Linked DNA regions of Arabidopsis thaliana. The protein of the gene in region 1 interacts with the protein of each later gene in a pairwise test. Each region holds a gene or a part of one and is shown on either strand. Other genes may lie near its edges.

Evidence for each region. The genes of interacting proteins can lie anywhere in the genome.
Region 2: the proteins of MYB113 (region 1) and TT8 interact in a two-hybrid assay, tested with the Arabidopsis thaliana proteins (one study listed by BioGRID).
Region 3: the proteins of MYB113 (region 1) and FASS interact in binary tests that used the Arabidopsis thaliana proteins (3 or more experiments, as listed by UniProt).

The regions. Positions count from the first base shown.
Region 1 is NC_003070.9:24,750,831-24,756,786, forward strand, and holds MYB113 (myb domain protein 113), read left to right. Parts: upstream 1-2,758; 5' UTR 2,759-2,803; coding exon 2,804-2,924; intron 2,925-3,065; coding exon 3,066-3,195; intron 3,196-3,284; coding exon 3,285-3,774; 3' UTR 3,775-3,931; downstream 3,932-5,956. Other genes in the region: AT1G66360 (Calcium-dependent lipid-binding (CaLB domain) family protein), read left to right, coding at 601-711, 1,231-1,326, 1,460-1,777. UniProt on the Arabidopsis thaliana protein: Transcription activator, when associated with BHLH002/EGL3/MYC146, BHLH012/MYC1, or BHLH042/TT8.
Region 2 is NC_003075.7:6,180,328-6,188,256, reverse strand, and holds TT8 (basic helix-loop-helix (bHLH) DNA-binding superfamily protein), read right to left. Parts: upstream 6,377-7,929; 5' UTR 6,191-6,376; coding exon 6,054-6,190; intron 5,835-6,053; coding exon 5,583-5,834; intron 5,202-5,582; coding exon 5,105-5,201; intron 4,917-5,104; coding exon 4,902-4,916; intron 4,820-4,901; coding exon 4,763-4,819; intron 3,079-4,762; coding exon 2,832-3,078; intron 2,748-2,831; coding exon 1,996-2,747; 3' UTR 1,734-1,995; downstream 1-1,733. UniProt on the Arabidopsis thaliana protein: Transcription activator, when associated with MYB75/PAP1 or MYB90/PAP2. Involved in the control of flavonoid pigmentation. Plays a key role in regulating leucoanthocyanidin reductase (BANYULS) and dihydroflavonol-4-reductase (DFR).
Region 3 is NC_003076.8:6,173,008-6,180,134, reverse strand, and holds FASS (tonneau 2 (TON2)), read right to left. Parts: upstream 5,164-7,127; 5' UTR 4,982-5,163; coding exon 4,840-4,981; intron 4,588-4,839; coding exon 4,496-4,587; intron 4,341-4,495; coding exon 4,278-4,340; intron 4,201-4,277; coding exon 4,102-4,200; intron 4,017-4,101; coding exon 3,858-4,016; intron 3,626-3,857; coding exon 3,554-3,625; intron 3,411-3,553; coding exon 3,278-3,410; intron 3,184-3,277; coding exon 3,119-3,183; intron 3,008-3,118; coding exon 2,932-3,007; intron 2,822-2,931; coding exon 2,720-2,821; intron 2,635-2,719; coding exon 2,442-2,634; intron 2,432-2,441; exon of another isoform or gene 2,168-2,431; coding exon 1,921-2,167; 3' UTR 1,734-1,920; downstream 1-1,733. Other genes in the region: AT5G18590 (Galactose oxidase/kelch repeat superfamily protein), read left to right, coding at 1-81, 187-270, 353-724, 806-1,309, 1,395-1,454, 1,539-1,619; EMB269 (GTP1/OBG family protein), read left to right, coding at 5,312-6,417, 6,987-7,127. UniProt on the Arabidopsis thaliana protein: Probable regulatory subunit of type 2A protein phosphatase involved in the control of the dynamic organization of the cortical cytoskeleton.

The DNA.
Region 1 (5,956 bases):
TCGTTGAAAGTATTTTCTTTTCAATAATGGTGCATTCTAGGTTTGATTAAATTGTGAAGTCCAAACCCAAGCCCAATAAGGGAAGTTTGAGGCCTAACCCAACTCCTAATATAAGTTTCTCGTGTGTGTAATTCTATGATATTACCTTTTTACGATAATTTAATTAGTCATTTTAAAAATCTTTTAATGAACTAATGACGCGTCGAAGCCGCGATTAAAAGCTGCAAAAGTACATGCATGAAGTCAATGTATAACGCTTTCTATGGTATTGACCTTGGCAAGTTTAAATTTTTTAGGCTCATATTTCGGACCATTTAAGGAAAGCAATATCTAGAAATGGAATGTAATTACAAATGTTCTTAAACACGACACCAGTCATTTAGGAAAGAAACACGAGACTTTTTCTCTTTGGTTTTGACTGATTTTTGAGGTCCTTAAAATTAATACCGAAACCACTTCAGAGGTTAAGATGTCACTTCATCATTAATTGTCCTACACACCAAATTTTCTATTGATATAAAATTTTTGCATGTGAAGAAAAAGCCCAAAAATTTACTCGGATTTTAAAGCAGATTCCTTCGATCTAAAGAAAGAGAGAAAATGGAGAATATGTTAGGTCTTCTAAGACTTCATGTGATTAGAGGTGTTAATCTTGCCATCAGAGATTCTCAAAGCAGTGATCCTTATGTCATTGTCCGTATGGGAAAACAGGTAACCCCAATTTTTCATCTTTTCTTTTCCAATTTAGGCTTTACATTTTCTGAGTTCTTCTGTTCTTGTCAAACAAAATTTTCTTCTTTTCTTTTGATCGAGTTTGTCAAGTAATTGGTTAATTGCTTCTTGAGCTTTCTTTTGTGAATGGATCTTTGGTAATGATTAATGAATTTTGTTATGCTACTTCTGATGTAGTTATTGAATGAGAGAAGTATAATATGTCTTTTTATAGATTTAGATGATCTTCACACAAAAAAAAAAACTTTTTTTTTGACTTAATTGGTCATTTGAATTTCGTAGGCAAATGCTGTGTTATTAACATATCCATTATAGTCACATACTGTCAAAGTTAAATTACCGGCTAATGAGAAATTCCTAGGAATTGATTTCTACAAAAAAAAAAGTAGCTAAAAATGAAAAGCATTTTCAACAAGTTTTTGATTTGTTCGTGCATTTCTTATTTGTGTATAATCTATTTATCTTATATGGTTATGTTATGACTCTTTCTGGACGCAGAAGCTACGAACCCGTGTGATGAAAAAGAATTTGAATACAGAATGGAACGAAGACTTGACACTTTCTGTTACTGATCCAACTCTTCCTGTCAAGATCGTAAGTGATTTCGACATTACAACCAAATCAAACACGATACATTAGATTAGACCACAATATGGATTCTTTATATTTGGAAGTTTGAAACAAGACTTAACAAGAAAAATTGGTGTTTTTTTTTTGTTATAAACAGATGGTGTACGATAGGGACAGGTTCTCAAGGGATGATAAGATGGGAGATGCGATTTTTCACATTGATCCGTTCCTTGAAGCCATCAGAATCCAAAACCAACTAGGAGGACTACCTGAGGGGACTGTAATAATGAAGATACAGGCAAGCAGACAAAACTGCTTGTCAGAAGAGAGCAAGATTGTATGGCACAAAGGAAAGATTGTCCAGAACATGTTCCTTAAGCTTCAGAATGTTGAACGAGGGGAGATAGAGCTGCAGCTTGAGTGGATCGATGTCTCCGGCGCCTTGACTGATGATGCGGAGGATGTTGCTTTCTAGATCGACTCTATACTACAAGAAATTCCTGTGATGATACGGCGAAAACAATAACACAAACTGATGTAGTGATTTACTCAATTAATAATCTTAATGCACTAGCGATCTTATCGATGAAGCAATTAAGAGTAGAACCACAAGGACTAATTCACATTAAGAATGCACATAATTACTTAACTTAAGAACTAAATGTTGCATTGATTCAATAAACCGGTTGCAATAATTTATTTAAATATATATTTTAGTTTTAAAAATTAGTTATATAACAATTTATACAGAGTGATGAGGTCGTATATATTAAATATTATAAAAGTTACAATGCTCAGTCAAAATAAACTAAGAATTACATGGGTCTATAAAATAAAATCAAATATTACAATGATTCGTCGAATAACGATTACAACTTTATTTAAATAAATAAATATTTCTAAATTATATAAAAAGTTATACCGAAATACGCAACAGTAGATAATTAAAAGTTTATTAAATAAAAAAAATTACAACGGCTCATAAAACAAAATCAAAAGTTGCAATGATTCGTCCATATAGATCAAATGTTATAACAGTTCAATTAATCTGTTGCAATTTTATTTAAACATATTTTAGTAATCAAAAATAACCAGAAAATGAAAATATATAACTTTAGTTGAACATACATAACTTTTTAACAAAACATTATTATAACTTTTTAACTTTAGTTTCTTTTTTTTGTAATATTTTGAAGAAATGTTGCAATAGAAAGACAACCATGTAGAAGTACAAAACAGATTTATTGACATTGTTATTATTATACGTAATTAAAAAGAACGAAGAGTCTGGCTGCTAAGTGCAGTGAACCATTTCTCTTGTCTAAACAATAGCAAAACAAACTAATTTTTAGCAAATTCAGCATGAATTAAACGTGGATATAAAATATGGCAGTCACTGCACTCTCTATATAAAACCTCCAATAATTTGTGAAGGCTTCACACATGCCATATATATAAATTTTATAAAATTTGTGAGATAATTTTCTATTATCTTTGCTCCATGGGCGAATCACCCAAAGGGTTGAGAAAAGGTACATGGACTACTGAAGAAGATATTCTCTTGAGGCAATGCATTGATAAGTATGGAGAAGGCAAATGGCATCGAGTTCCTTTAAGAACTGGTATTTGTTTCATGCTTTTTAAGGTGGTTCATGAAAATACTATTTATATCGATTGGTGTGCATATATTCTTCATGATAAAGATAAAGGAGGTACAAAAGAAATCTAAGTAGGTATAGTAAATTCGACTTTTGGTTTTATAGGTCTCAATCGGTGCCGAAAGAGTTGTAGACTTAGATGGTTGAATTATTTGAAGCCAAGTATTAAGAGAGGAAAACTCTGCTCCGATGAAGTTGATCTTGTTCTTCGCCTTCATAAACTTCTAGGAAATAGGTATTGTTTTCTCGATAGTCAATACTATTTCTTTAGGGATCGCGGTTCAATACTAGAAACTCTCATGTATATTGTTTCACAATGTTTAGGTGGTCCTTGATCGCTGGTAGATTGCCTGGTCGGACTGCTAATGATGTCAAGAATTACTGGAACACTCATTTGAGTAAGAAGCACGATGAACGATGCTGTAAGACGAAGATGATAAACAAAAACATTACTTCTCATCCTACTTCATCGGCCCAAAAAATCGATGTTTTAAAGCCTCGGCCTCGATCCTTCTCCGATAAAAATAGTTGCAACGATGTCAATATCTTGCCAAAAGTTGACGTTGTTCCTTTACATCTTGGACTCAACAACAATTATGTTTGTGAAAGTAGTATTACATGTAACAAAGATGAGCAAAAAGATAAGCTTATTAATATTAATCTATTGGATGGAGATAATATGTGGTGGGAAAGTTTACTGGAGGCAGATGTGTTGGGTCCAGAAGCTACGGAAACAGCAAAGGGTGTGACCTTACCGCTTGACTTTGAGCAAATTTGGGCTCGGTTTGATGAAGAGACTTTAGAACTGAATTAGTGTTGCTCCCCATTTTTGTTTGCACGTGTGTATTTATGTTTCTGTGGATGTTTTTTATATTGCAATTTTTAAAAATTGTATTATTAAATTCATATCAAAGGTGGCAGCATTTGTTACAATATAACTTAACACGAATTCAAACCCGAGAAGATAACGTCTAATGGTTCATTAGGAGATAATATGAGAGTCGTTTCTACTTATATTGTGTTGTATGAGGTGATGCGATGAGAGTGAAGAAAGGGATGTTTCTACTTATGTTTTTTTTTGCTTTTTATTTACAAATTTATGGTCTTTTCTAAACCAACGTCAGAAAGTTCAATTCTCCAAAAAAACTACATGAATCGTAATTTTTTTTTATCTACAATACTACGTTTTAAATTGACCTAGATAATTAGGATCAGAGTAAGCTGCAATAAACTAAAAGAGAAAAAAGTAAGAAAAAAAAACTAAAAAAAGAAAGAAAGAAAAACAATTCTTCTTCTTCTCCGATGGAGACACACGTTCCTCCAACTCGAACAAATGGATGCATGCCTCAAAGTGGGTCCATTCAATCCGATCTGAAATTAAGCAGACTCAAAATTGGTCCGATTGATCTAAACCGAAATCAATTTTAATTATGATGAGATTTTGTCGAAATTAATAATTAGAAGGGTCATTGATTATTTTAAGGAGACATGTGAGCTATCTCGCACATTAAAATCAAGAAAGAACTTTGAGTGATATCATATGGATCAATATATTTATTATATCAATTGGTTTTGACTTTTCCTCTTAAAAGAAAACAACAACAGTTTTCTAACGCAAATAATGTTGATGTCCTTTGGATCCATGTCGGTTGCATAGTATACACTAAACATGCATTGGAAAAAAACAAAAATTCTTAAAACTTACCATTATCGTTGTTTTTATTAGCTTTGAATGATAAACTACTATCAAAACGATATATTTTTTTTGTATATTTTCGATATTTATCATTCACAATTTTTTTTATCAAAATCATTATAATATTTTTTATTTTTAGTTTTATTGTACAACTTTTTCGTATAACTATTTTTTACAGTTTTACATTGTTTCAAAATAACTTACAGTTTCAACTAATTTATGTTATCAATCAGATCTATTATTATTATATTCTATTATATATCAATTTAACACATGGGTTTTGGCAAACATAACCACCGGAGGATCGGAAAGGAACTTGTGATTGAATAGTGTTTTCTTATTAAAGGTTACACACATACAAGTGTGTAAGTCAGATTTTTCTAAAAGATTCATAAATTTAGCATTCTTTGAGAAAAAACTTAAACGTGAAACTTCCAAGTAAATTATTCTTCAGAAAATCTATAAAACTTTGTGTCAGTAAAGTGAAGTTTATTCCTTGAAATTCTCCCAAATCCATACTAGTCTCGTTCATCTGGTATTAATTACTATGACGTCGGTTGAAAAGAAAATATAAAATTCTAAAAATGTATGATAAATATCTATCACTTCAAAAGGAAATTTTCCTTACAGTGTATGATTATTTTTGTTCTGGAAAATCTTGAAAGAAATGACTTCACACCTTATAGCTTTTATGAAATTATGTCTCATGTGGAAAATTGTTTGTGGACGATGAGCATACACGTTGGTTTCACTTGAAAAGTTAAAAAAATTCTTACTATTTCCTTCAAAAATATTCTACAAAATATCAGCTAATCATCACCAGTGCTATCCTATATCATAAAATTACATAATTGGTGTGTTTTGCGCTAACAAAAAAGAATTAATATTATTTTAGTTTTTGTTAAAGGATATTCTGTCTTAGTTTTTATGTTATATCATACTTGTTTCACCAAAATCAAATTATATATTTTAATCATAATCTAGAATATATTATTTTAGAGGTATCTGGAATAAATCAAATTAGTTTTTATGTTATATCATACCTGCTACACACTATGACTTGTTGAATATTTTGTGATCAGGTCTTGGGTTACCTTTTTAGATATTGTAGAAATCTTCATGAAATATGTATGTTGTAGGAAGCCTGAATTTTGACCGTTATGTGGGTCAAGAGTTATGTACTAGATATTTTTTTACTAGATAAAAAAATTTCATGAAATATTTTTGTGACATAAATTCTTCAATTATTATTATTATTTTATTATTTTTTGGTCCTTCAATTATTTATAACAAGAAAATA
Region 2 (7,929 bases), on another chromosome or scaffold:
GGTAGAAAGCCAAGCTTATAGAGAAAATGAAAAATTGTAATCCCTAAATTTGTTTATCTTAGTTTTATGTGGGGCACTAGTAAATGGGCCTAATTTTCACAATAAGAGTAAACAAACATCTATAACTTGTGTGTGTGTGTGTTTTTTATGTTAACCGGTAAAAAAATGTCATCATTTGACTTGTAAGTAAGGGTGGGCAAAAAAACCGAAAACCGAAAACCCGGACCGTACCCGATCGAAAAAAATAGTTTGGTTTGGTTATAGTTTTAAAAAAAAAAACTATTTGGTTGTATTTTTTTATTATTATTTCGGTTTGGTTTGGTTAAAAACCGTAAAACCAGATTATTTTTAGGTTTTTTAGAGAAATTAAAAATAATTATTGATAAATATTTTTGTCCATTTTATAGTGTGATTAGTTTGATTAATAATAGTTTCATTTTAAAAAAAAAAATTTAGTAGGCTTAGAATTATTAATTTTTTTAGTAATTTAGAAACCAAGAATTTAATTTTAAAAAGATATCTATTATATCTAACTTATTGATTGATATATTATTTTCTTTTATGTTTATTTTTATTTATAAATCATCGAACTTATTTTTTTTTGTAAAAGTATGGAATAACTAAAAAACCGGGACCAAACCAAAAACAAATCGAATCCAAACCGAACTGAGATACATATGGTTTTAATATTTATAAAACCGAACCGGAACCAAACTGAATTACATACTGTTTTTCTGTTTTTCTATGATTATAGTTTTTATAAAACCGAAAAAACCAAACCAAAACCAAATCATAAAACCGTACGCCCACCCCTATGAGTTGTAAGAGTGGTTCGATTTAATATAATCTCCTGTTTACTTTGATTGTAGTTCTCGGTTCAGGTTGGTTAAATTTTTACATTAAACCAATTTCAGTTTAAAACGATTATTATAAAGTTCTGAAATTAAAATAGGTTTGACCTTGGATTATCTTGAGTCTTTTTACCCTGCCATCAATTTTTGGTCAAAGTAAGTTAATATTCATTTAAACCGTTTTTTTTTTCTTTTTGGCAAGGTTTGGTATCTGAATTCAATCAGAATTCTAACAGTTCATACCGAAATCAAAGAATCGAATGGGCCAGGCCAATTTTAAGCAGCCTGCTAAGTGCTGAAACTATAGAAAGATATCTTACACTATTGAACACCACTATTCAAGAAAGAAGACAACAAAGGAAGTGGAGCCAATGCAGTTACACATCTTGCAGCTTTGATAATGTATGATGATCAACTAAGAGAAAAATATATATAGCTCATGCTGCAACTATGAACATTGTCAATACATTTATCTCGTTGGTTGATAGCTTAATATTCTTGACTTATAAATGTTCTTCCATACACTAATTATGAGTATAACTATTAGTCTACTCTAGAAATTGTTGATTCTTACACTAAAACGCAATTTCGTAATTTTGCTGGAAAATTTGATTTCGTAATTTGATGTGCTACAACTTGATTCTTAAAATTGAGCACCAAAGTAGAATGTAATGTTTTATATAAACTCTTTGATTTCTCTAATCTGAGGTTAATGATAAAATTACATAAATTATGACATACAAATTTTGGCATAAATTATTTTAATGAATTTTGTAAAGATTTTTTAATAATATTTTCTCAAATTTGAACGTAAGAAAAAACTACATAGAAATTCTACATCTTTATGCATCAAAAAAAATATGATGTTTTAGATGCAACTGAATCTGCATCCAAATATCGCATTCATACAAAAGTACTAAATTGGACAACGAACAACATCGTCATCTAGTACATTTGCATTTATATGTTGCAATTGCATCATACACAAGTACTACATTGGACAAATGAACAATATCATCTAGTACATTTTCATTTATATGTTGCATCCGGCTATATATGTAACTGATGTCTTAATACATGTGAGGCTAAAACAAAAATACGCTTAATTATCCTTCTCTAGAGTTGGCATCAATAAAGTTAGGGTCTATAGATTAGTATCATGTATTATGACTTGGTGGATGGCTCTTTTGACCTCAGCGATGCTTGCTTTCTTCCCTCTTACTTTCGCCCTTATCTCCGCCTCGAAATCATGGTCGTTCACCGAGGTATGAACTGCCGTAGTCTCTATACCAAGCTCATGAAGAACCTGAAGAATGTCAAGCAACAAACCATCTCGGTACTCACATCTCATCTCTAACAAAACATCATTCTCTATGATGGAAACCTCCACCTCCTCCGATGTTTTTCTCTTACAAGTACGCGTCCGCTTATGCTGTTGCTCATGATGAGTATTCTCAAGCTCATGGACCCTCTTTCGAAGATGATTTACGTACGCAATGGTGTCTCCAAGGATTGAGACTTTATCCATCTTGGTCACAAATGGAACCATTGATCTCAACGTTATGAATTTCTCGTTCAGCTTCTCCCTCCTGCGTCGCTCTGCTACTACGTGGCTCAGATCTTCCCGCGGTAGCCTCTTATCTTTAGTGTTGTCATGGAGGAAAGGAACTCTGAAGATCATTTGTTTGAGCACCCATTGTGACGACGGCGCCGTTTTCACTTGCTGATGCTCTTTGCCATTCTCAACCCTCCACGTGGCAAACGATGATTGGATGTAAGAAGATGTGGAAACTGAATCTGAAAGAAGACTTGTGGGGTGTGACATGAGAAGTGTTGTTACTGTCTGAGAATAGTTTCCACCTTCCTCCATTAGATTCATCATGTCCATATGTGTGTCTACATATATATACAAATGATAATTTCTTAGATATAGCGAAATAAATCCGCAAAATATAAGTAGCTTAGGGTAGATATATATACCTAACGTATGGGTTGATTCAATATGAAGATCAGAGTGTAGATTTTGATTGGAAACATCTTCATCATCAGGAGAGCCAAGCCTCATTTCCTCTGACATTGTCATCTCTTCTTCTACTTCTTCTTCGTCTTCGGCTTCTTCATGCACTTCGTAGGTGGAGTGTTCAGAAAGAGCCGGCTTTGGGTTCGTCTTGCAGTGGTCATAGAAGAAACTCTTTGTGAGCTCAACAAACTCTACATCTTCTCTTACCTACACACACAAATACAACAAATAAATATTGATCCATCACTACAAAAAAAAGGATAGATTACATCAATTAAATAGTATCACAAGTATAAATGGTACAAGTTTAAATTACTTATAAGCAAATGACACAAAATAAATAATTAAACATCAATTATAATAAGTGATGTATAAATTAACATGTTTAGCGTCACTTTAATCAAATTGATAGAAATTTGTATTAGTTTGCATCATTTTAACAAATTGATACAAAAATCTGTATTTACACCAATTAAATAACCGATGTATTCACTTAATTTTATTAACATCAGTTTATAAAAATGATATAAAATTATACATCAATAAGAAGTGATGCTAATAAGTTTTTCTGTATTTTAATTTAAACAAAAAACTAACTTGAATTTATTGTAGATGACGAGAAATTGTTATTACCATAAATAAATAATCATATTGGGTTAATAATTTATTATTAATTCCTATATTTTCCCTCAAAATCAGCTAACTAAATATATTTGTTTCCTTCACTATAAATCCTGCTTTTACGCTCACGATCTTTTTTTACAGTTTTGTATCCAAAAACGTTTTTAGAATATCTTCAAATTAGTTTTTGAAATCTCATAACTCTCATTCAATTCTTCATCTTCAACGACAAGTACTTTCTTATTTTTCTATCATTCTATCTTTCTCTTTTTCTTAACCATTGCTCAGTTTTTTTCTTTTCTTTTATTTTCAGAAATCTGCCATTGATCATTAGGACTGTTTGTTTTCCTACACAGTTTGGAGAAACACAAAGTAAAGGTACTCTATCACTTTCTTTTAAAAATACTTACAAATGGTTATTCTTATTCCGACCAAAACAATTCTGTAAATTTTCAAACAATTACTCTCTTTTTTATTTTGTACAGCAGAAACTCAAGTGTGATGAGGATTCAAGAGATATAAGTTATAACCAAAGTATGATTTTGATTCTGTAAATGGAAGAGAGATGGCATAGAAGAAGAAATGGTATTTTTCAAGAAGAACCAACAGTTAATGGAAGGAAGAAGCATGGAACAGAAGAAAGATGTGTTTAAACACGAAGAAACCAAAACCAAATTATGATTATTTTTTTGCTTATCTTATATAAAGATTTATTGTTCATGTAAAATATTTTATTAAATCTTGATAAAATTTTAGTAGATATTCCAACGAGTAATTATCCACAATGATCTGTTATTTAAAAAAAAAAAAGAAATAAATAAAATAATTATTTGAAATATTAATAACATTGTATTAATAATTATATATATATTAATTAAATCAGTTATTTAAACCGAAACAAATACTAACATCACTTAAATAAATTGATGTAAACATTACATCATTTTTAGTAACTGATACAATATTGATATCAATTATAATAATCGATGTAATTATTTTGATTATTTACATCAGTTACTAATTAACTGATGCAAATTATTTGCATCAACAATATTTAAGTCACTTATTTAAGTGATACAAAATTCTTTTACATCACTTTTAACTAATGCAAATATTTATAATAAATGATGTAAAACAACCTTTTTTTTGTAGTGCATCTCCTTAATTTAACATTACTAAACCTAAAGAAAGATAGGCTATATTCACTTTGTTATTTTGTTTATATATTTCATTAACAAGTAAATAAAAGAGAGAGTATATACAACGTTACCTTTTTCGTTGTGCCTAGTTCCACAACACCATCAAGCATTGGAATGCAAACCACTGTCTGCTTTTTTAAAATACATTTTCATCAGAATACAATTCTCAAATCTTACTAAAAAGAGCAAACTAATAAAGACAAATTTTACCTGAATTTTAGCACTCTAAGTCATTGAGGAACCGACGTAAAAGGCCCATAAAACGACAAGAAGAATTATTCAAGTTAATCAGTGAAAATGTATAAAAGTATAGATAAATAGGTTTACAAGTAGATAGATACATAGTATAGTGTATACATAAATAGGTAAAAATAGATGCATAGTATAGTTGGTGAATGAATAAAAGAATTTACCTTAGCGAGAATAGCTCTAGAAAAAGTTTTACTGTCAACTTCATTTGCACCACTTAGCCATACGTGCTTCCTCCTTGCATACGCTTTTCCTGGCATCCTACAAATTACTACCTCCCAAATTTATATTTGATTTTTTTTTACCACATAGAGAAAAGCATGAAGTATACCCATAACTAACCCATTTTGTTATGCATTTATGTTATATCTATTCATGCTTCTACTTTAGATAATCAATCACCAAACAATGAGAATCTCAACGGTCGCAATAATGTTCATGAAAATGTAGTGTGTGTACGTTTCATTAACTCTCATTTCTTTCTTATTCTAGTAACTCAACTTCCTCAGTTTCTCTTTAATGTCAACACAATATTTTCGATATTCGCATTTAACACACAATACTATTTTTGTCTTCACTTAGAGAAGGAAAAAAAAGAAAGAACAAATTTAGAAACTTGAGTATAGGGAGAGAGTTGTTTACCCAGATGGAGGAGGAAAAGAGAAAGAGACGCACATTAGATAAAACCATTCTGTCTCCGTCAAATCCTCCGGTGACAATGCGGTGCATGCTCTTGCTTCTGACGTTGACTCTCCGGCTAAAAGTGTCTCATAAAGCTCCCTGAGCTGTTGGCTCCTCTCTAACGCCGCCTCTTCTGCCGTCACCTCCGCTGGTTGAGTTGTCTTCCTCGTCTTTATTGCACCGTTGTAGTATCCATTCCCCCACACCAAGACCCTAAACAATGATACTTTCATATAAGTAGTTCAAAAATCTTAATAAATTTTGTAAAACCTTCAAAAAAAAAAAAAATTATTTCAAGATCGAATTGTAACACTACGACAAGCCAACAATTAGCCGAATTCATTTAAACATATAGTTTACATAATATATACGGATATAGATATTATGGTTGTATTGTGAGAGATGAATGAACTATAGAGATAAGAAACTAACCGTTGTTGAGGACAAAATTGCCAGAAGACACTATAAGTCCAGTCCACAGATTGAACCGCCGTCTTAAGCAGCCCTTGAAGCTCTTTTTTCTCAGCTCCGGCCACTTTCTCTGCCGGAATAATACTTGATTCATCCATCGTTCCCGGAGATACGAAAACGTGGTAGCTCTCTCTCTAAAAATCTTATAACTTTGAAGGGTTGTTATTAATATGTGAGAAGAATTTACTCTCATACGCTCATGATGACTTAAAATGGTATGGGACCACTGATTTTTGCAATATGCATGTATACGTATATCATCTTAGTGCTTTTGCAACATGTTGACATAAGTAAAGTATAATGCATGTAATGACTTCTATGTATATATGTATGTATATGAATGCATGACCAAAACTCAAGTGCATTAAAAGTTGACTTTTGATTTTTGAATGGTTGGTTCACCAGACGTTGGATGAGAAAGTGAAATAATGAAAGATCTATGTATCTTGTAGACGTGTCATATACTAATTGGACAAATCAAAATACAGAATGAATATATCTAATAATGCTATATTTATTTATTGTTCAGAAAGCATAACATATTATTGTAGATAAAATAGCTAACTGACAAACAAATGAAAACAAATGTTGCTTTGACTTGTGTTACTGCTACAAGGAGCAAAGAAATTGCGTTTTTCACATTTCTATTATTTATAAAATTGATATTAAAATTATATATTGATTAAAATGTTCATTAACAATTTTAAGAAGTTGGAATTATTGGATGAACATTCATATATATTTTCTTTAAAATGAAAAGATAAACTTAACCAAAGATGGGGAATGGTAGAATTGTTGACCTGACCGGTAAGTAAAGAATGAGAAATGGTTTGGTGTAATAAAGGAGAAGAATGAGATGTTTCACATTTGAGTTATTAAATTATTGATGTTAATTGCTAGCCAAGTAGCAGCCACTAGCCACTATAAGTTTCCCATTTAATAATGTCTTATAAAATATAAATGTAGATAGATACTGTTACGTACACATATCGTAGTACATACGATTTTGGGTATGGTTAAGGGTAATGTATGTACACCTGGTTACTTAGACAAAATCAACATTGAATGTTTCTTGGCTTTTTTGTCGACAAAATAAATGTTGCTTGGCTTTTGCTTCTGCTTCTGTGTTTCTTATTACATGTTGTTTCTTCTGAGTTTAGTCGTTCACCAATTATGTAACTCTGACGACGGGCCACGTGGAGTGGTTTCTTCTTATTGATTTTGCTTCTCCTTGTGTGCATCTTTGTGTTTATAAATAAAGGTGTTATGTAACTCATTTCTCATTGGAAATGATTCAAATAACAGAAAATAAACAATACTGTTCTAACACAGAAATGAGCGATTGGTTATTCACAATCACAAGGACAATGCTTTAGTACATAAACGAGAGGTTGGTTAGGCACAAATGTTAACTAAAACCCAAGTTCTTCCATTCCAGAAATGACAAATCATTCCTATTTATAATGCTTTGTTTTCAATGAAAATGACATTAGCCAAAAGTGTTTTGGCAAGAATTAGTTGTTGGAATACAATATATCTTTACAACGCACAACTGCATGAGCTTTGAAGGACCCCGGCCGGTTTATGATGAGAGTGAACTATTTGAAAAGTGGACCACATAATTGTAGAAAAATAATGGGTAATATAGTGTGATGCAAATTGGTGTGAAGTTTTTTGAGTTATTTTTTCTTTCTTTTTCTGAAATGTAATCATTCGTGTGAATGAGAGATTTCTTGTATTTTGTTCAATATATTAAGACCCGGTCCAAACCGGTCAGTTGGACCGTAATCCCATGATCCCGTTGGGGATCCATGGCTAAAATCGCCATGTATTGAAC
Region 3 (7,127 bases), on another chromosome or scaffold:
GAAACATTGGTCTTCGATATCCTTAAGGTCGAGTGGTCTGTAGCAAGCATCTCCTCTCAATCTTCTGTCACATCCAACAAGGTGGATAAATAGAAAAATCACATTCTTATATGTAACTAACTTGTATATTCTTTCAACCCCATCTGTTAAAAGCTCAGTTATTGTCTTGTGGTATGTTTGAAATAGGGATTTAGTCTAGTTCTTCTGCAACACAAGGATAAAGATTTCCTTGTAGCTTTTGGAGGAACGAAAAAAGATCCTTCAAATCAGGTTCGAGCCTTATCATTCCGCTGTATTGTTCAAGATCTCAATTTATGTATGTGTTTTGATGCTATGTCTGAACTATGAAAAGGTCGATGCTTTTACCATTGACAAGAACAAGAGTGAATCACCAACACATCCGCAAACAACTTCCAAGAAAAACCCCGGCCGGTTACTGTTTGGAAAAAGATCTTCTTCCTCGGCAGTTTTAACCTCTGATGAATCGGTTAAAGCCTCTTCACAGAGGCTGATTGATTCAGTTGCCAGACAGAAACTTGCTTCAGCCATTGAAGAGCATGGTGGCTCTGGTAGAAGGTCTTTATCAGAGATTGCTTTCGGTGATCATCGTAACCCACCTTCTGGAAATGTCTCTTTGCGTAAACAGTTTAGCACCGAAGAGGAATACAGAGCGGTGATTGAACCCGCAAAGTGTTCAGAAGAAGACATTTCCGTGCCTCCTCCGGTATATATAGTTAGTTCATGATTCACCTGCATTTATTGACGTTCTTGAATTTGCTTTTAAAACGTCTTGTCTTGGTTTCAGACCACAGATGACAATACTGGAGGAGCAAAGATTACAGCAGAGAAAACACTTTCTATGGTTTCTGACCGTGAAATCTTAAGTCTCCAGAAGCAATGCTCTGAAACATATCCTTTAGAAAACGTTGATGGCGCCTTGATATTCCAAGAAATGGATAATATCAACTTTGCAGGATCAGCGTCCTCATCGAGCGTGTACCAATTCCATGAAGCGAAAATGACGGCTCTTATAAGAAGAAATGGGATTCTGGAAGGGCAGTTAGAAGCAGCATTGGCGGGAAGAGAGGCGGCTGAGAGGAATGTGTCGGTTGCGTTGAGGAGCAAACAAGAGACTGATAAAAAGTTATCTGACGCCATGAGAGATGTTGAATTGCTTAAGGAGAAGCTGACCGGGTTAGAGCTCGCTCAAGAGGAAGCTAATAGTTTGTCAAACATGGTTCACTCCGACAATGTCAGGCTTGAGCATGATGTAGCGTTCCTCAAAGCTGTCCTAGACGATACACAAAAGGTAAAATAATCCTAGTAGATATACAAGCGTTTTCAAAAGACTGAGGATTAAAGTTTAATACCGTTTTGTGTTATGGGTTTTGTAGGAGTTGCATTCAACAAGAGGAGTTCTTGCAGGAGAAAGAGCAAGAGCGTTCCAGTTGCAGGTGTCATCATAATCATCAATAGACTCTATTCAAATTTGCATTTTCAAAATGTAGTATTGTTCTAAAAACTTGAGATGAACGCAGGTTGAAGTGTTTCATCTGAAGCAAAGATTACAATCTCTAGAGAACAGAGCTGCTACACCCAGAAAGCCTTTCCATGTCTAAACACAGACCAGAGACAACACGATAACTTTTATGACTTCCATTTTGTAGTACTCGAGACATGACTGAATTCATGTGTGTTGTGGAGTAATGTATAATAGAAGTGAATTCAGAAATGTCAAAAATCAAATCAGATCCCAAGTAGAATAAGACAAGTGACGATATAAACAGCCATTTCATTAAACGTCACCAACTAATAAGCTTACAAAGATACACACACATGAGATGAGACTGTTTACTAGTGCGAGACTTTTGATCTCAATGATTTAGCATTTTTTTTAGGTAGACATAGAAAATAACATTATCACTGAGACTCTTCCTCAGGTGGTTCTTCTTCTTCTTGAAGAAGGTTCTCACGGTTGTCATGAGCCCAGAAGCCACGCACATCTATAAGCATGCTCGCAACGGTTCCACCTTGTTTACATCCCAAGAGATCACCCAGAGTGATCTTTAATGGGTCAGACGGTTTCACCATGTCCCAGATCTCGTCTCGAACATCTTCTATGCACAGTTCATAGTTCCCACCTTCTATCCATTTCTGGTGAACATCTCTGCAAGTTAAACAGATGAATTCAGAAGAGAGACAATGGCATTATCACACATCAATGGTGTGTTTGATATGCACTAGTGTCTTTGCAGATATGAGACTCGCGGAACAAAGCTCAGCTTCCGCAAGCAGGAAATGCAGAGTGTTTATTTAGGAAGATTGTATCAGATAACATCACAACTCTTTGATGCTCCCCTTCTTTACTTCCATGTTTCAAACAAAATTTACTAAAAAGTAAGAAACCAAACAGATTCAGTCGCTTCATAGAGATTCATTACCTGAAAAGAGAGTGAATATCAGCAGTAGTGAGAAAGCCTCTCCCTTGGAGATCAAGGCAACGGAATAAATACGTCAAACCCTCTGGAGTATCTTTGTTCTCCAAAGCAAGAACAAAATCGAGGAAACTGTCAAAGTCCATTTCCCGGGAATTGCCTGCCACGATTTTACCACGGCGGACATGCTCATCGAACACTAAAAAAACAAAGGGGAATTAGTATACTAAGCGTGTCTCGATCAGTACCACGAGCCTACAATCACCAAAAGGGCTTAAATTTACCTCTTTCAATGAAAATCTCAGTTAGGGTCCCATCAGCATATTCTTTAAGTTCTTGTTTGCACAGCGATCCACTCATATCTTTATCAAGTGCGAGGAACATATCTACAGAAGAAAGAGAAACTCTAGATCAATCTCCATTTTAGTTCTTAATATGACATAACGAGAGTTGTTTCCAGTTCTCTGCAGCTATTAAGACAAAATAGCACACCCACCACATATGCGTTGGGCTGAAGTCAAAGAGAACCAATTTTCTGCCTGTTCAGTGTCTGTGACTTCCTCCTCGCTTTCCTAACGTTGAGTAACCAAGGAACAATCAGAAAACACAAGCAAGTAGCTTATGAAAGTGGAAAGTTATACGGTGACGAAGCTGTATGTCATACATCCTTCAACTAAACTTACCTGATGCAATTCCATTAGTTCCTGCAGACAGTTACTGAGCAGTATCTTTTTAATGCAGGCTCTTCCTGTACGCAAAAAATATCACATTTACGAGCGATTGAATACTGGGTCAAAGAAATTTCTAATTGCCTAATAATAATAATATTTTCTTTCACTTACCTCGCCTATGGGGATCACAGAAGAAGAAAAACTTTTGTGAAGCTATGCGGCAATACATTTGATTAAAGGCCGGAGGCATGTCTCTCAGTTGTGCCAGATTAGGGATTAGACCACCAATATAGGACTCCATTTCCTATAATAACAACAGCAAGTAGACTAACTGTAAGGAACTTGACATAAAAGTCAACACCATTTGACATTTGCAGGTAGGACGACTACCTAAAGAATCTTGAGCCAATTCTAAAGTTAAAGCTTTAGAGCCACTTGAGTACTTACATCAGAATGAAGGAAACCATCAGAGTCTTCGTCAAGCTCACTCATATCAATCCTAGCTTGTGTAAGCGACACCTGAATAGTGTTGAACATATGATTAATCAAAACAAGTATTAACTATAGTTGTTTAAGTAAAAGACACGCCAAATTAAAAAAACTTGAAAAACAAACATCCAAAACTAGCAAAGCTGGTGTCACTCAAACACAGTACCAAAGAATATTTAGCTTATGGCGACAGATGATATTCAGCCAATGAACAAAAATGATACCCAAAGACATGACATTATAAAAACATAAGGATACTCACCGTGCGCATCACATAAAGATAAAACGGTAAAATGGCAATCCTCCCAGCCTCATCCTTCTCAAATTTCATGAAATTGGATGGGCTAAAAAACCGGCGACATTTGGGACCGATTTGTTCAGTGCATACAGAGGCAATGTGACAGAAGTCTTCATAGTTCATCTACATGAAAAAGACAGCGCAATATCAGCATCATTGTTAACATAGTTTCAGCTCCAGAGAAAAATCCTATAAAAGATGCACGTACCTTTTCAGCACCAGTGGCATCATCAATCACACAATTTTCTCTCAAACAAACCCACATAGCAGCCAAATCATCAGCGTTTAACAAAAGATCCGATTGTTTCTGTGGGAATTAATCAACATATCGAAGTGAGCAAAAACATTAAACTTCTTCTGAATAATTAAGAGCAGGCGAAATACCTTCAAGAAACGGTACTTTGCAAGCTTCTGGACCCTTTGACTAATAGATCCTTCTTCTGGTTTCTGAACCAAGAGTAAAGGAACAAAATTTTATTGCCTAACACGAATACTTAAAAGGAAAAACAACTTCTATGAAGTGTATAACACAATGCAATATTTTAACCGAGTAGTGCCTTGAAATGCAAAGGCAATCATTTTATACAGAGTAAGGGACATGCCTTCTTGTAGAAACTCGGTATTGTGCCTGCTTCTTGGCTTTTCTGTTGCTTCTCTTTAAAAATCTCGAGCAAGATTCTCTTCGTCTCAAGCTCTACAAAACAATGAACACAAACCCTTATCAAACTAAGCAAAACCAAAGACTCTATCACAGTTAAACATAGTCTTTCAATACATAGACATGTAAATTCAGGAACTTTACTCATATTGAAAACACAACGAGCTCTAAAATGTGATCAAAGATTCAAACTTTACAGAATTTATGACATCATCACAAGCTAAAAGATAAAAAAACTACAGACTGTCCCAACAACCAAAACGCAACAACCGGCAAAAGGAACATTACCCATTAGAGCTTCGGATCCTAATCCGGCACCGGAACCAATATATCGTCGTAGATTTCTAACCCAAAGCATCGAAGACGCCGGTGGGATCTTCCTCTGCGTCGATGTATCATGACTCTCACCATCGCTAGATCCGCTATACATTCTCGGAGATCGTCACAACCCTCGACGATAAATGTTAGTCACCAAATGAAGCAGAGAGATTAAAACCCTTAAATAGAATGGTGAGACTGAACCAGGAACTGCAGAAACCCTAAAGCGCCCCCTTTCTCTCTCTCTCCCTCTCTGGAGCTCAATCTGCGAGATCCAAGCTTCAAACTTCAAAGGTAATAAAAGTTTCTCCTTGTTTGCTATATAAGTCCTCAATTTTATACTACTTTTGATTGTAACCCCCTTTACTTTGAAAAATCAATATTTAGTACAAAATGTTGTTTATATCACATAAAGTCCCGTTAAGATTTATCAGAGAAACAAATGGCTTCCATATCCATTAACTGTTTCTTCACTCCTCAAGCTCTAGCCCGACCCAGTAGGACGAGGAAGATTTTCGCTAAACCTGACAAAGTCTCGGGAAGAACCCGAAGCCCTAGAAAAACGAAGCTTCAACGCGAAGTCGAGCTTAAATCTCGAGGCGGTGATAAACTCCAGCCAGTTTCTGATGCCGGCGGCGAAGCCACTACTTATACACGTCTTCCTCCTAGGGAAGATTACTATGATGTCTCTCTTTTGTCTTCATCTTATTTAAAAGTTTCTGAAGAAGTGAAGCTATCTGAGTCCAATGTCGCGAGGGTTGAGGAAAAGATTGAAACTTTGAGGGAAATTGAGGAAGAAGAGAAAGAAAAGGAGGTGAAGAGTTATGATGATGATGATATTTGGGGAAATTACAGAAGATTAGATGTGTTTGAAGGGAGTTCAAGATCAATTGATGAAGATGATGAAGATTGGGAAGACGAAGTGTTTGAGTATGGTGATGAAACTGATGCGGAGAAAGATGATAGTGAAGGGTCTGAATTGAAGGATGGAGAAGTGTTATGTTTCTCCGGTGAAGAGGAAGAGGATGAAATTGGGGTGAAGGAGAAAGGAGTTCCGGCTGTGATGAGGTGTTTCGATAGAGCGAAGATATATGTTAGAGCCGGAGATGGAGGGAATGGTGTGGTGGCGTTTAGGAGAGAAAAGTTTGTTCCTTTTGGAGGACCTTCAGGTGGAGATGGAGGGAGAGGAGGGAATGTGTATGTAGAGGTTGATGGGTCTATGAATTCGTTGTTGCCATTTCGCAAGAGTGTGCATTTCAGGGCGGGACGTGGGGAACATGGGAGAGGGAAGATGCAGAGTGGAGCTAAAGGTGATAATGTCGTGGTGAAAGTGGCTCCTGGGACGGTGGTTAGACAGGCTAGAGAGGTTGGGAGTGAGGTGGAGGGTGAGGAAGGGGAGGAGAAGGAGGTGCTTTTGGAGTTGTTGCATCCGGGACAGAGGGCGTTGTTGTTGCCTGGAGGGAGAGGTGGACGAGGGAATGCTTCGTTTAAGTCGGGGATGAATAAAGTTCCTAGGATTGCTGAGAATGGCGAAGAAGGTCCTGAAATGTAAGTGTGTATTTTTCTTCATTTTTGAGCTGGTTTTAGTTTAGTGTGTTGATGATGGTTACAAGCTTTGATAGGATAAACTAATCACAGAAGCTAGATTGTTCAAAGATGTAAAAATTTCATTTTGGTTTAGGAACAGTTGATTTGTATTTCTTTTGTTTGGTAAAGCTTGATGTTTACATGTGAGCCCTGCTTCCTTCATTCGATCATCTGGGTTAGGTTTAGTATCTCGGTTAATCTCCAGAGGAAATCTCATCTTGTAAGTAATGCTCACTATACAAGAATTTATATATAGATACAGGTACAGGACTTTTGAAAGTCTTCCATTGCTGACTCTGCTAGTAGAAAAGCTCATGTTGATAGAGGTATGTTAGAGTATTATGAACGGATATGAGTTTCTGGGTTATCTATAGACTGGATTGGGTACTCTTAGAGTCCAACACTATCATGCTGTTGGAGAATTATGAGACTGTGTTTGCCTTTAGGAAATGTAATATGTGGTTCATATATATATTTTTTTTTTTCTGGGAAGCTCTGATTCCCAATTATAACTTTACATATGCCTATAGGTGGCTGGACTTAGAACTGAAACTGGTCGCAGACGTAGGTATTGTGGGTGCTCCAAATGCAGGAAAAAGCACATTGTTGAGCGTGATAAGTGCCGCACAGCCAACCATAGCAAATTACCCATTCACCACATTACTTCCCAA